Notamacropus eugenii: one gene and its partner. The protein of the gene in region 2 purifies or fractionates together with the protein of the main gene of each other region. This does not show direct contact. Links are inferred from orthologs where the notes say so. Each region holds a gene or a part of one and is shown on either strand. Other genes may lie near its edges.

Region 1 (7,904 bases), about 140 Mb from region 2:
GTTCTGAGTACTGTGGAGGTGAAGTAGCAAGGGGTGGGCTGAGTGTTCTCTTATCTCCTTCCCACATTCATCCAAGTGCCCCATGTCAGCAGTCTTACTTCCAGAGAGATTCGGTGGTGCTTTTCCTGCAGTTGGGTGGTCAAGTCCTGTAGTCGCCTGTTGTCTTGTCCAAGTTCCCTGGTTAAAGCTCTAAGTCCTTCTCCGAGGGACTCACACTCCCCTGGAAAGGTAGGGACCAATGAGAGGACAATGGCAACCAGAAGAAAAAGCTAGCAGCAGGAAATTACATGACAAACTAAAGGTTCCTAGAAGGAACTGGGGAACATGTGTAATAAATAGGTCTGCTATGGGCATCTGCAGTCAAATAAAAGCTGATATGCCTCAGTTCTGAACAGGGAAGGGGCTGAGTGCTCCTGGGTTCACCTCTGCTGTGGACTCGATGGCACAGTTCTTCTACTCGACGATGCAGTCGGTCTGAGGCCTCAACTACTCTGGACACTGCTGCCTTGGAGAACTCCATTCGGCCCTGGAGCTGAAGTTCTACCTCTTCGCTACTGCTGGCCCCCAGGGCTGCCACAAAAGCCAAAGCTGGCTCGCTCAGGGGGGGCCGAAGCTGGAGGGTGGGAAGATCTGAAACAGAGATCCAAATAAGATTGTTATATTTGACATGGGTATGCAATAGGGTGTGAAGAGCAATAATGAAAAGGAGAAATGAGAAGCAGGATCTTGCAGAAAGTGTAGTGAGGTGAATCAAAACCCTACCATAACTCCTAACAAATGGGCTTTTTATTGATAACTAACATTTATATGTCACTTTAAAACCTGTACAGTCTCCACTCTGCTTATCACTTTCTCCACAATTTTTCACTATCTCTCCCCTGCTGGTCTCACCTCTTCTGTCTGTGGTTCCTGGTTCAGGCAGAGGGGTCCCATCAAGTTCAGTGCCATCTTGAGCTCCTGGTTCCTCTATCCTAGATAGTAATTCTCCTCGTCCCTCATGCCGTCGGAGTAGAACCTCTACAGTTTCATCCAGCTGTGAGGGTGTCACAAGAGAACATGACTTTTCTGGAGGCTTCAATGGCAAAAATACCTTTCCCCAAAGGGGGACGATGAAAACTCTGAAGCAGAAGTTTAAAAAGATTTCAAGGAAGAAAAAACTGGGGACTGGCGCAGGGTCTGAGGTAGAAGGAACAAGAAAATGAAGACGCATAGCCTAGAAGAGGGAAGGGGATTGATTCTAGGGTTCTGGACTAGCTAAACTTAGGCAAAAAGGCAGGAATCATGGTTGATGGAGACATACCTGGGCCCAATAGCGGTTGACAATGAGCAATGTAGCATCATCGGTGGCCTGGCGCTTTTCTAGCTTTTCAATTCGCTCCCTCAATTCATCTTCACACGCCTGTCGTTGTTCCAGTCGCTCTGCCAACTTTTTGTTCTTGAACTGTAGCACTTTCAGGTCCATCTCCTCCTGTAGAAGGCAGAGTGAGTAAAAGAACATAAGAAAAAAGTGAGAAAGGCTGTAATAAAATGTTAAGAAAAAGAGAAATGGAAAGCAAGGCCCCATAGAAAGTATGGTGAGTCAAAATCTCATTGTAACTTCTAACAAGGGGGCCCCTAATATTGACAACCGAATTTAAACAGCACCCGACAGTTTGTAAAGTGCTTTACATATGATCTTTTAAACTACGTAACAGTCTTGCAAAGTGGGCATTACAAATTTCCCACAAGGGGAAAGTGAGGCTAGAGAAATTGTGACTTGTATCAGAGGCGAGATTCTGAACCATGTCTTCCTGACTCAAAGTCTAGCCTTCTATCAACAAAGCATTAAAAATATTAGTGAAAACATATCAACAAAAAACATCTAGCCATAAAAGTGAGTGAGTCTCTACTGGGTTGGAAGGATAACAGAGGGACAGCTGGAGTGCCACAGTGGCTCTCCCCAAACACTCAAGGAACAAGCAGACCTTCAGTGTTTTGGGCAGGTTTCCCCGCAGAACGTTTACATAAAGTCAGAGACAAGAACTGGAAAAGATGAGAGACGGGTAGACAGACTGTGATCTCTTCTCGGGAGGATGAGATCAGACTTGGATAGGTCCAATTACCTAAATGAGGACAACGCGGGGGCTTTCCTTGTGAGTTAACCTCGCTTTACAGAGCACCCTGAAGCTCCGAGGGCACATAACTGACTTGGCCACGGTCAGGGTTCCAAATACAGTGGGTCTGGGGGGGATGGCGGGGGTGAGGCGTGGGAAGCGGGGTAAGGGTGCGCAGCAGGGGGGAGGGGCCGCACTGACCGTGGAGGAGATGCCTCCCAGGCGGATGGGCTCGATAAGGGTGGTCGTGGTCTTCTCCTCCCGATTCTGCTTCTTCTCCGAGGGGCCCGAGCCCCCATCCCCGGCTGCGCGCTTGTTGCCGGCCCCAGACATGGCTGGAAAGGAGGAGGGCGACCAGAGGCGGCTCCCCCTTCACCTGAGGGAGAGGCGGGGCCCGGGGAGGCTCAGGATCCCAGTGGGGGCGGGGAGGCCCGGCTCCTTCCCGGCTCCTTCCTACCTACCTCCTCCCAGGGAGGATTCAGTTTCTCCAGGCAGCTGCCCAGGTGGCCGGCGGCCTCCTTCCTCCGGTCCTGGCCCCCGACGGTCTCAGGAGACCCCTCACCTGTCCCAGGTTCGGCCGAACGCCGCCATGATGTACGTCACCGGATGTCGCATCGAATGCCTCCAAAGCGCGCAGGCGCCGACGAGTGGGAGGGCACGTAGCTAAATTTGTCTGCTTTCTTCTCCTATTGGTCAGAGACTCATTTAGAACCGCCTCCTGCCTCCGGAACGCTTTCTTACCCAGCAGCCCATCCTCTTCTCCTTGATTGGTGAAACGACCACGTACCATGGCAACCGTCTCCATGCCGCCTTGCCCCTGTCCCGGTAACTCCACCCTCCTCTTTATTGGTAGTAGTGAGGAGACCGCTCATATTCGCGGCGGAAGATACTGCGCTTGCGCAGCATTTCCTCATTTATTGGTCCGCTCTTCCCGCTTGTCACGCCTTTACCCCCGCCCTCGAGCCGCCTTAGCAACCACTGACCCCAGCAACGACGCTTCCCACGGATTGGCTGAACAAGACTATGTCTTGATCTCGATTGGCTGACATGTTCCCACAGAGGGCAGGGCCTCCATGCTCGGACCCGTAGCTTAGGCCCGAAGGCATACAAGGCGGAGGAACAGCGGGTGGCACGATGAAACGAAGAAAATCTAGCGGAGTTTCCGAACTAAATTCTGAACCGGGATTGGGGTTGGACCCGAATTCTGAGGGGTTGCCGGACGCGGCCCCGGATCTGAACCAGGAAGCAGAACTGAATTTGGAGATGGAGAGAGAGCCAAATGGAGAGCCCGAGCCGGAACCTGAAAGAGAGAGCCCCGAGGAGCCGGGCGCCAACCTGCTGCCGGTGAGGGCGGAGCGCGCTTGTTTCTCCCGGAGGCCCAGCCGGAGGTGTATTACCTGAGCTTTCCCGGGGGCGGTACCCCCCTCCTGGGATCCCGGGGAGCGGGTCGGGTCGGCCTTTAGGACTTCAGCCCAGTCTTTGCGAAGAACCGCAGAAAGGACCCATGTCCTCCGTGCACTTCCCGCCGCGTCCCTGGGAAGGTGGGGCGGCCTGTGAACCGCAGGGGAGCTCTCGCGCCCGGGCGGCCTAACCGAGCCACCCGAGAGCGGAGATCCCCAGGCCGCTAACGTAGCAGCGTTGTCACACAACCCTCTTTCTTCGCAGCCGCCACTTCCTGAGCCCCGGATCTGCTTGTGGTGAGCTCGGGGCTGGGCCTGGGCCTGCGGGTGGGGCTGGGCTAGGTGTGGGTAGGGGTGTGAGCAGCGTGGGGTCAGCAGGGAATGGGCCTTAGGATTCTCCTAGTCCAGCGGCTTCATTTTTCAGATAAGGAAAAGGCCCTGAGAGGGCCAAGCAGAAAGCTGATAAAATTTAGGACTAGGGCTCTTGACTCTCAATCCAACTGGCACATGGTGGATTCCTCTTCCTAGCTACCTTCCAACTACCTCCCTTTTTTTCTTTTCCAATGGCAGGAAATACCTGGATGTACATTCTATGGACCTACTGGAGAAAACCACCACCTTGGAAGAGATGCAGGAGTACGGGCTAAGTGAATAAGAGGGTTCAGAAATAGATTACTTCAGAGGTCCTCCCCACCCCAATAATCTGTTTCTTTGAATGGATGAGGAAAACAGGGAGGGAGGGCGCTCACAGGAGGAGGAAAGATACTTTCCTAGGAATACAGGATGGGGTGACTGAAAAGGATCTTTTACTCCTCAACTGGTTGCTCTCTACCCTCACCTTAATCCACCCCAAGGTTGCTGGCAGAACTGCTAGGCCTGGGGCTGACAGACAGGAGCCCAAGGGAGGCAGTGCTACTGGATATGTTTTGCCACACCTTGATCTTCTGCCGGCAACAGCGTTTTTCTCAGGAGCAGACCTCAGCAGCTTGCGCTCTGCTTCAGGACCTCCACAAGGCCTGTGTTGGTGAGTTGGTGAGACCCCCTGGGAGAAGGGCCTTGCAAGGATTCGTCACATCCAGGCTGAGAAAGGTGGGTGGGAGGGGAGAGCCTGAGGTAGGCAAGGTCAGTGATGAGCACCAAATAGTGCTTGCTTGGTCCTGGCTGAGCAACTGTAGTAGTAGTAAGGGCGAGGGTGAGGCTGTCCCGGTGCAGCAGTGAAATGAGCTAGTAACCCCAGAAGCCGTGTCTCTTATTTATCCTGTAGCTATCATTCTGTACATGTTGTCTCCATTAGGTTGCGAGCTTCTTGAGGGTAGAGACTGTTTTTGTGCTCCTCGGTGCCACGGTGCCTGGCACATAGTAGACACTTAATGCTTGTTTGATTTGACTTATGAACATGGTTAACAGTAGAATATTGGGAGGGATCTCAAGAATTTTACTTCAACCTTTTGTAGAAGAGCAAATGGGCTGGGGAGGGGGGCGGACAGAGAGAAATCTCATTTATTCCAGGTGACAGTGACAGGTAGTAGCGAATAGAAATATAATAGCCTTGGAACCAAGAAGCCCTGGGTTCAAGAGTTACCTCTGATACAGACCGACACTGAACAAGTAACCTAAATTCTAACTTCTCAGTTTCTAGGCAACTCTTTTAAGAAGTTGCAGAGAAAGTGCCATCTTGCATAAACAGGGGGTTACCTCATTCCAGAGTTCCATCTATCATTAAGAGTTAAGAGGCCCAGTCCTTATTCCTATAACCTAGGTCATTTTATTCCTTTCTTTCCACATGATTAAGGGAGTTATCACTGTCACTCATTTCTCCTTCTCCACAGCAACTCCCTTGGGCAACGTGGAAGACTGTTTCCGATTTTTCACCAGCCTCCTCTTCTGCCATGGAGTCAGGGTCAGTCCCAATACAGAGGAAATGAGGACTCTGAAGAATTTAAAACATCCCCATCCAATGCTCCATCCTGTAGAATTTTTTATTTCCTTCCTTAACTACCTCAAGTCCTAGGAGGCCAAAGCTATAGTACTTTCTTCCTTTCTTTGTTCTGAAGGTTCTGTAAGAAAAAGAACCAAGCTATATATTCCTACCCTTTCCCACAGCGGCCCCCCTTCAGCATTGACCTATTTGGAGAGGAACAGCTGCTGAGTCTATCAGATTATATCATCAACACCTACTTCCGTCATTTTAAGCTCTACAAGTATGTCTTCACCCCCCAGGTACTGGTCCCACAGGATACACGAAACTTTCCAGTCTATTCCTTCTCATTTCTCTATCTTAACATAGTTGTCATTCCTCTCTCCCTCCTCTCGAACTCCCTCTGCTCTCCCAGGTGCGGTTAGACTTGTCTTTGCGATATATAGGTCTGCCTGAAGTAAAGCCCCCAGCAGATGGTAAGAAGGGTGGAGATTAAACTAGGCCTGGGAAGAGGGTTGGGAAGTATGCCATGGGGCTCATGGCTCCACTCCCTTTCATCTTTCAGTACAAGAGGAAGAAAAGGTAGTGGAGACGGTGTTACCTGTTCCCGAAGAGCCAGAACCAGAAATAAAAACCGAGCAAGAGCCAAGTAAGCAATCAAGGGGCACCTGTTTCCCTAAGCCCTCCCTGGGAAACTGTTCTGTCTTATCCTGTAGAAAAAAATGTCTTCTGCTCCCATTCTTTCTAGGTGGGCTTCCTTCTAGCCAAAGGGAGCTCCTTAAGGACTAAATTGAGAATACTGAATTGAGAACAGTGTATTTCCTACCTCTCATGACATTCCCTGATAAGGCACTGTGATACACCATGCATGAATCCTCTCTCCTCACAATGTGGGACTGAGGTTCTCTTATGTAAAAGGTTCCTTTGGCTCAAGTTTGAACCACTTTTTCAACAACCCCAGGTCCAGGCGATATACTCCGGGATTTCATCACAGCCCAGCTTACCCATGAGCTAGGACAGCTCAGGCAGTTGGTGGAGGAACGGCTGAAGGCTGGCGAGGAGCAGCTCAATAGCAGGCTGGTTGCCCTTGAGAATCCTACCTTGGTCTCCAAGAGTAAAAGCAAAGCCAAGTCACCCCTGGGGTATTTACCCAAATAAAAGCCTGGGCCAGAAGTACCCTGTTCCTTCCCCCAGGTCCCCTTTTGAGCACCTTCTCACTCCATCTTGAGACACAGCTTGTTTCCCAGTGTGCAGGATGATTTATTTCACATGAAAAATGGACAGCAACAGCAAAGATGTGAATATCATTCTCAGCTGGTCCCTTTTCCTTCCATTCAAGTCCTGTAGTCCTGAGCAACAGGGATGGGGGCACAGAGTTGGTCCCCTTTCCAGTAGCATCATCATCAGAGAGCACAAGAGAAGGGAAGAATGCCTTCGGCCAGAGTCCAAGGTGACCGAGTTGATTGAAGCTCTCAGATTGGGAAATCTGTCCTTCCCAAGGCTCTCGGGCTGGGAAGCAGACTTCTGGGGGCTCCACGATGGAGGTCTTAACTACGCAACAACAGATTCATCGTCAGTGTTGGTTGGATCTCCCTCCTCTTCTGGATTGTAGCCCAGGTATGGGCCAGGAGGCCGGTGTTGGAAGAGGGCAGCCCTGTTCTGTTGCTCGCCCTTCTTTACCCAGTGTCCATAGAGGCGGAAGGCACAACTGTCAATGAGTTGCCTCACTGGTCGGAGCCCATATGGGTCTCCTAATAGAGCTCCCTTGCTCATTGGCCTTACCCTGCGACTGCTCAGGGCTACTCGGCCTGCAGCCAACACTGTCCATACTGCTACCTGAGAGGAAAGAAAACCACAAGAAAAACAAGATCACGGACACACTAAAAGTATGAGTTGAGATTTCTGAAGATAGTTGAGTCCCAGCGAAAACAATGTCATCTCTTATCACCTAGGTCCAAGGGAAGGGTAAAGTGAGGTAGATGTGTGGTAGTAGTGGGTTTTGTTTTCCCAGGAACCTCTGTCTTGTAATATCTGCTCTCTGTTCCTTACCCTGAATCGCTGGATGGGAGAAAGGCTCCAGGCCTGGCTACCCTCACAGCGTTGGAAGAAGGGATGCTGCAGGGCCTGCTCTGCAGTCAGTCTTTCCTCAGGATCCACCTGGAGTAGCCTTGAGATCTAAGAGAGGGGTAGGGGCCATGAGACACTTCTTCTCCTGACTCCTGAACTACTACTGCATTTCCCCCACCCCTTTGAGCCTTTGATTTACTCACCAGGTCTTTGACAGTTGCTGATCGGTCATCCCATTCTGGTGACCTGAACTGGTATCGGCCCTCCATTATCATTCTTAGCATCAGGATCTGGCGTCGATGCCAGAATGGGGGAGAGCCAGCCAGGAGTGTGAACAGGATCACCCCACAGGCCCAGCTGTGAAGGGAAGACCACCAGGTTCAGATGGGGATGGGGAATGAAATGGGAGAGAAAAGACCAATCAAG
Region 2 (7,896 bases):
CCCTTTTGTCTACAAACCTGTAGACAAGATCTCCCCCCCCCATAGGAAACCTTAATCAGGGGTTTGAAAAGTGCTATATAATATGTTATCTCATTTGATCCTCAAAATAACTCTGTAAGCCAGGTGCTATTATTATCCTCATTTTACAGAAGAGGAAATTAAGGCTGAGAGAGGTTAAGTGATCCATTTAGGGTCAACAGCTAGCTTCTGAGGCAAGATTTGAACTGTTTAAAAGAAAAATATCACTTTAATTTAAAAACAATGAACCATGTTACATTTCAATTTAAAAACAAAAACTGATTAATACTACTACATTATCATTAAAAAAAAGCAAAACTCTTTTTTCAGTACTTGGCCAGATTTCCTCTGCTAGACTACAGTTAGAATATAGCCCCCATTTATAAATCAGTCAGGTCTCCCAATATCTACCACAACATATACAATTTCAGCCCCTTTTTGCTTTTCTTTAATTAAAAGTGAAAAATGATGCAATTCATTTACTGCATGATCGAATTTACCTCTAATACCACATCTTGGCCTCACATTCCTCAGTGGTAATATAAAAGGAGTTGGACTACATGATCTCTAAAATTCTTTCCTATTCTAAACCTCTATATATAAGGAGAAAATGTTCTCAGTAACTTTATCATAAAGCAAAAGCTTAACAATTATAACCTTTAAATAAAAATGGGCACATGCATGACAATAGGTATACTGCTCCTAATAAGTGTCATAGATTTCTGACTACAGTATTAAAGCACCTGCACTTTCATTTGTGTACATGTTTCTTCTACCAATCAAAGACTGCAATTCCTTCATGAGTTCAGAAATTGGCTTCATGAATTGCTGTAGCAAAAATTCATCACACTTGGCCAATCTGGCAAGAAGCCTCTGTGAGCTTAGCTAGGTTGATCTTTGGTCTCTACTAGATTTTATCATTAAATGACATTACTAAAAAAGCTGAGGTAAAATTTCAAACCTTGATACACTAGCTTCTGTTTCAAAGCCTAAATTTTCATTATAAGGCAATGTCTTCTTTAACACACAGTAGGACAATTACTGACCACATACTGAAAGAACCATTGCGCCAAGGTTAAACCTGAGTAATCCAGATATGCTCTATTTCTCCAATGATCGGTAAACTTCACACAAGAAGATGAACTATAGAGATTACTAAGAGGCATTAAAACTTGCTTCTTCTTTGTTGTAATCTCACAATTCATTTAAATGTTGAAGGTACATGCCCCATTAAAGTACACAGCTGGTCAGCCAATAAACATTTATTAGGCACCTAACCCAGGCTCTTGGCACTCTGCAGAAGCTACTGAGAAGAAACTACAGCAACTGAGGAAAACAAAATCATTCACTCAGCCCTACAAAATAATGACTTCCAGAAGGCAGGCAATAAGCATTTTTTAAAAAGCACTCACTATGTGCTAAGGACTGAGGATACAAATCCAACCATAAGTCAAGACAGGCTTTGACATTAATGCTTAATTTTCTTCAAACTTTAAATAAAAATCAATCAGAAAAAAAAGCTTTTGTACACTAGCTCCTTGAATTTAGATCGTCTTTTCCTGCATGTAATGCTTATCGATGTGCCTGGAACACAACTGGCTATTAAAGTTTATAAGGGCTTCCTGGATTACTCAGCAAGACCTGAATTCGAGTCTGCCCTCAGATACTTCCTATCTGGGTCCTTAACCCGTCTGTCGGAGTTCCCTCATCTGTAAAATGGGAATAGTAACAGCACCTTCCTCCCAGGGTTGTTATGAAGTTCCAGTAAGATAATAATTGTAACGTGCTTAGTACAATGCCTGACGTCCTTGGTATATAAATGGTACCTATAGTTATGATTACTGACTAAATAAAGCAACCCTTCTTACACATAGCCACATTTACACTTTTAGCTTATTTAGCAGATAAATGTTATTTCGTTTGCTCCAGCACTTAGTACAGTACGTCGAACCACAGCAGGAGCTCAATAAATGCTTACCAACTGATTGACTGTTTGGGGATATGAAAAATTCCACTCCTTGGGATGGAATCACCTGCCTACCTTAGTTGGGTTCTTAAGTAATCTAACTCTAGAGCTTTACCCATACCATCAGCAAGTGAGTTCATCTCCCACGGACTTATCTTTTTTTTGCAGGGCTCTCTTATCCCCTGAGTCAGGAAGGTACGGGCTGAAATTCAAAGCGAACGCCCCCCCCACCCCCCTTCACCGCTGCTCCTGCTGCATGACAAGCTCCCTGGGAAGCCCGAGACCACGTGGGGCCTCCACGATCCCGACTCCGCACTACTCCTCTGACAAGGACCGGGAAACTAGGGGCTCCTTCCCCTCCGGCGGAGCCCCGACCCATGCCACCTGTGCGGCCTGCAGCCTGTCCGGCCCGGAAGGATGCGAGGCTCACCAGACAGGCAAACTTGGCGGTCGGTCCAAGGGGAGGAAACGACGGAAAGAAAGGAAGAGAAGCTCCGGATCCGGGCCGGATGGGACCTGTCCACCCACGCCCCTTCCCTGTCCTCCGCAGGGTCTCACCGGATGAGGGCCCGAGGCTGGGAGCGGCTCGGGAGGGCGGGACGCAGGCAGCAGCAGCCCCCACCCCCCCTCGCGACCTCACACCTCCAGCCTACCCTCTGACCTCCCCGCCACCCCCCCACCAGCGCTCCACGGTCCCCGATCTGACCTGCCCCCCGCCCCCCGCACCTGTCACTCAGCAAAGACACCAGCCCCGGCGCTTCCCGCCCGGCTCCCCCCCAGCAGCCGCGGGCGCCTCAGTCCCCGCCCCGCCCCGTCCCCCTCACCAGGTGTCCCCTTTCCGGAGCGAGGTTTTGAGCAGCGTAGCGATGTCGGACTGCTGGGTGTCCAGATCCGCCGCTCCTCCCTCCGCCATCTTCTTCCACTAGCGGCAGCGGAGGAGGCGGCGACGGCGGCAGCGGCGGCGGTACCGGCGGCAGCAGCGGCGGCGGCAGCGGCGGCGGCGGCACCGCCCCGGAGCATTGTGGGAACACGGCGTCCCGCGGCCCCGCCCCGCCGCCGGGTCGGCAACCTAGAGAGACGTAATGGGGGAGGGGAGGATAGGAGGGGGAGGGAGGAGGCGGAGGAGAGCTTGGCCGGGGAGCGCGCGGGCGTCCTTTGCTGCCCCCTAACGGCCAGTGCCGAGGGCAGCAGCGACAGCACCACCACCTTGAACTTCATTGGCTCTTCCCAGTGCGTAAATGCTGCCTCTCCGCGGTCCGCCACTGGGAGCCCCTGCACTCTCGTTTTATTCGTGGCCCAGTACCGCCCGATCCTCCTCGCTTTCGGCGCCGGTGTCTTCCCTCCCTTCTCTCTCCAGGGACCAGATGTGCGCGAAACCTTATTTTCATGACAACTCTAACGTAATAGGGTGTGTATGTATGTGTGTGTGCGCCTGCGCGTGTCTGTGGCCAGGTGTGTGCAAAACATGACAACTTTGGCTCATAGAAATTGTATGTACGTATGTGTTTGTACTCGTGCCAGTGGCCAGATGTGTGTGAAACATGACAACTCTGAGTTAATAGGGGTTTTGTGTGTGCTCGTATGTGTATGCGCGCCAGTGGCCAGATGTGCAGGATACGTGACTTTAATAGGGGTTGTGTGAATGTGTGGTGTGTATGCACGCCAGTAGCCAGATGTGTGTGAAATGACTGCCTTGAAAGGGTGCGTGTGTGTCTATGAGTGTACGGAGCCAGTGGACAGATGTATGGCAAACATGACAGCTCTAACTTAATAGCAGTTGTCTGCATATGTGTGTATACCCACGCCAATGACCGATGCGTGCGAAACATGACAACTCTAGCTTAATTGGAATTGTGTATGTACGTATGCGCACACAGATGGCCAGATGTACGCGAAACTTTATTTACCTGACAACTTTGGCTGTAGTGTGTGTGTGTGTGTGTGTGTGTGTGTGTGTGTGTGTGTGTGTACATATCTGTACCTGTGCAGGCAGAAGAGCAGCTAAAATATTGCATGACAATTTCATTAGCTTCTTGACTCATGGGTTTGTATCGCAAATACTCTTTGCCTAAGCTACTTGAAACCCAGCTGGAGCAAAAGAGCATTGGAAATTAAAACCCTTGACCATAATGCCGGAACTGGTCGCTCTTCAACTCTCTCCCTCTACCTTCCTACTGGCACCAACTTGTGTGCTATGTAGGGACGGTAATAGGATTCCTTTAAATGATATATCCATCCTCTCGTTCCCCCCAAGTAGACCCCAAACAGCTATAGAAAGCATTTGGCTGCTTCCTTGCGAATGAAACGTTTGACCTACAATAAATTTTGCGCAGATTTTAAAGGTAATAAAAGAAACCCGCATTTACCCTCATGTCAGTGGAGAGTATACCCATTATCGAATAATTAAAAAAGATTTTAAAAATCATTAGATCTGAGGATTTGGCTAATTGAAATCCAAGTAAATTCAGCTATTTTAGCAAAAGATCCAGGGTGGGAATAGAACACAATTGCATCCTTAAAAAAAAATCCAAGGGCTTTGCTAAATGGAATTTTATAAAACTACTCCGAGAGAATCCCCTTTACAGTAAGATGAAGCAATCAGACCATCCAATATGTTGCCTTGGTTATAGGGTCAAGTTGATACTGATAAATAGCAAAGTGATTACCCTAGTTTCACTATCTGTAAATAAAGGCTATATTGTTTTTTAAATATTTTTCAGGGATATGGCTAAGCAAGGTTAATAACATAATTTTAGTGAAACATTTGATTGTAGAAGATCCAGAATATTAGTTTCTTCCATTAAAAATTCTATACTTCTTAACGTAAAATTTGGCAGGTTTCAGACCAAGCCAGAAAAGCTTTTAAGTGTGGATGGGCCAGATTGACTAGATGTCATCTGAGAAACAGCTCAGCTAAGTTTGGAGAAGCTCATCAAAAAAGGATTGGTCACCAAGGGATACTTTTTCTTTTGCTCCAGCAACTCATGAAATTCTTTTAAATATATTAGATGGTTGGGGTCTATGGGACTGGAGAGTGGTTATATCCACACTGATGAAATCTTATCTTTTTTTTTTTTTTGCTCAGTGACCTCACTTCTTACCTAATAATGGGAATTTTCCCCATTGAGCTACCTCTGATTTGAGAGCATAAAAGCACTTTCTAGTCTTTAATTTAGATACTAGAAAAGTAAGTAGGTCCCCAAGTGACTCAGTAGCAAAAAGAAAAAAGTAAAATAAACTAACAGTTTTAACTGTTGACCTCTTCAAAGAATGATGTCCCCACTATTTGTCAGCTCTAGGAAATATGTAAAGTGAAGTGAGATTCTAGAATTTTTTTTGTTTGCTTTTTTATGGTCACCAATGACAACATTTGTTCACTGGATCAACAAACTTTTAGTAAACACCTATTGTGTTCATAGTGCTGGTCTAGCTACTGGGGGAGATAACAAAGTTTATATTAAAAATGGTCTTTGATGCTCTGGAGTGGTTTCATATGGGGATTATACAGACTGAGATACTTACAATTCATTATATTCTACATTAAGTACATTTGAAAAGTATAAAATGAAATATTATGTGAGGTACTTGGGAAAAGGTTCTTACAAAGACAGCTTGGAGTAGTGGTAAGCATACGGACTTGAGAGTCAAGAGAAATGTGTTCAAATCCCCAAGGATAAATCACTTAGCCAGACTTTAAACTGGGAACCTGAGGACTTCACTTCAAATCTCAGTTCTGACATTTACTACTTTCATGACCTTGGGCAAGCCACTGCCTCCCTTTGATCCTGAGTTTTCTTATCTGTAAAATGTGGTATACACAAAGGTCCTTTCCAGCTTTAAATCTATGATCATATGACCTCTTTCTTCATATCCAAAATAGAAATACCTATATAAGGTGAGTTGCACAAAGCATGGCCAGATATTCTGTGTCTAGTTTTGATTGGCCCACTTTGGGACTATTTCCAGATGTATTGACTCATTGCTGAAAGAACTTGCTGTTTTGGTATGATGTGGAAAACCCTGAGTGGTCCTTTTGTCTTCTACTCCTTCTCCAAAATAGCAAGGGATTGAGGTGCAACATCTGTTAAAAGAAATAGCTTCTAGATTGTCCATCTTTGACCATGATGGGTCAAGGTGTAACTCCACTGCGGGGTGGGGAAAGGACAAGGTCATCTACTCCCTACCAACATGGTGATCCCAACAACATGGAAGCTGGTGCTTGGAGGACCCAACTACGTGAGTTTGCTCCTGGGCCTCTGGCAGCCCCTGCCTCTCTTGTGTTTCCTTCTTAGAACAGGTGATTTTATGAGATCAAGATGAGACAGTGGCATCTGAATTGTTCACTCTATCAGGTGGGGAGGACCATTCCATGCCACAGAATATCACCAAGTGCTTTTACCAAAGGGTCAACCTAAGGCCACAAGCAGCTGCAAAGCACCACAGGGTCAACTAGAGGCATGCAGAAAATATCTGTTCTCATTCTGCATAATCCATGTTACATTTGTGTTACCTGCCTCATGAGGTTGCTGTAAGGGTCAAATGGGGCAATGTGTATGAAATGTGTAGTGAACTTCATATGCAATGTGTATTAAAAATACTCTTGTAAATGTTAGGTATTTCCTTCTTCATATGGCCTGGTACGTAGCACTGTGCCTTGTATATATTAGGCACTTAATACATGTTAATAGAATTGAATTGAATTAAATAAGACAACAAAATATGATGTTGGACACTGGAGAAAAAGCAGAAACATTTATATTTTTCTTCTGTTTTCTGTACCAATAAAAATTATCTTCAGACTTGGAAAAATAGATCAAAACCTATTAGTAGAGAGTCTAGAACCAAGATGGATAAGATCATATTTGGCAGGCCTCAGTGAGTTCAGATCACCTGGATGAGGTGAACTTTCACCCAAGGGATGTATGATGCAGTGTAAAGACCACTGATTTTGGAGTCACCAGACCTGAATTTGGATGCTAGCTGTAATTCTTACTACCTGTATGACCTTGCACAAATCACTTAACCTTTCTGGGGTTGAATTTCCTCATTTGTAAAATGGGGGAGTTGGACTCAGCTCTATGATCCTATAGAGAGGAAATGGCTTGAGGGAAGGGTAGGGAAAGGAAAAGTGTAGGGGAGAGTGTGAGAGAGGAAAGTAATCCAATTGGGTCTAAATTTAGAACAGAGGTGTTAGTAAGGAGGCCTACCCACAGGTTAAAATGTAACTGGGAAATATTTAACAAAATAAAAATACAATAGAATATTGATAATGTTAATATGTGGTTTTGTAAGGCAATATGCGGCCTTATATTTGGTTTCATGAGTTTGACATTGATGGCTTATGGATAGTATAAAAGTTGGAAGGACAGAGTGATATCAAATTGGAAAGAGCTTTGAATCAAAAAGATTTTAAACTTAAACTTGTAGGAATAGGGAGCCACTGAAGATTTTTGATCAGTGAAATGATTTAAGTAGTTCTACTCCTAAGCAAGATTATTCTGGCAACAGTATTCATTTATTCAGCAATTGTTTAACTGGAATAAACGAGATACCATATATAAAGTGTTTTGCAAATCCCCAAAATACTATATAAATGCTGGCTATTGTTGCAGCTACTGTTACTGCTACTATTATTACGACTAGAAGGTTTGTCATTTCCTTCTTCGGCTCATTTTATAGATGAAGAAACTGAAGCAAACAGGATTAAGTGATTTGCCCAGAGTCACACAGTTAAGTGTCTGAGGCCAGATTTGAATTCAGGTCGTCTGACTCCAGGTCAAGTATTTTATCCACTGAATCACCTATATGCCTGTTTGCTATGCCACCTAACTCCGCGTCCTCCCTTCTCCCCCCAATAATTCTTATGAGATGAAAAGAAAGGCAAATAGCCCATGAAGATGTTGAAATGTTTT

Evidence for each region. The genes of interacting proteins can lie anywhere in the genome.
Region 1: the proteins of USP15 (region 2) and RNF40 purify together in Homo sapiens (affinity purification with mass spectrometry; 4 studies listed by BioGRID and IntAct, with this or other methods). This does not show direct contact. The link is inferred for Notamacropus eugenii from reciprocal best matches to the Homo sapiens genes USP15 and RNF40.

What each region holds. Positions count from the first base shown.
Region 1 is NC_092874.1:377,895,240-377,903,143, forward strand, and holds the start of RNF40 (E3 ubiquitin-protein ligase BRE1B), read right to left. Parts: upstream 3,013-7,904; 5' UTR 2,881-3,012; intron 2,780-2,880; 5' UTR 2,555-2,779; intron 2,470-2,554; exon of another isoform or gene 2,429-2,469; 5' UTR 2,427-2,428; coding exon 2,295-2,426; intron 1,469-2,294; coding exon 1,301-1,468; intron 1,034-1,300; coding exon 892-1,033; intron 631-891; coding exon 424-630; intron 221-423; coding exon 99-220; intron 11-98; coding exon 1-10. Other genes in the region: CFAP119 (cilia- and flagella-associated protein 119), read left to right, coding at 3,228-3,437, 3,759-3,790, 4,064-4,129, 4,348-4,517, 5,323-5,393, 5,597-5,713, 5,827-5,887, 5,977-6,060 and 1 more; PHKG2 (phosphorylase b kinase gamma catalytic chain, liver/testis isoform), read right to left, coding at 6,963-7,247, 7,461-7,586, 7,682-7,835.
Region 2 is NC_092874.1:239,034,098-239,041,993, reverse strand, and holds the start of USP15 (ubiquitin carboxyl-terminal hydrolase 15), read right to left. Parts: upstream 3,009-7,896; 5' UTR 2,898-3,008; coding exon 2,809-2,897; intron 1-2,808. UniProt on the Homo sapiens protein: Hydrolase that removes conjugated ubiquitin from target proteins and regulates various pathways such as the TGF-beta receptor signaling, NF-kappa-B and RNF41/NRDP1-PRKN pathways.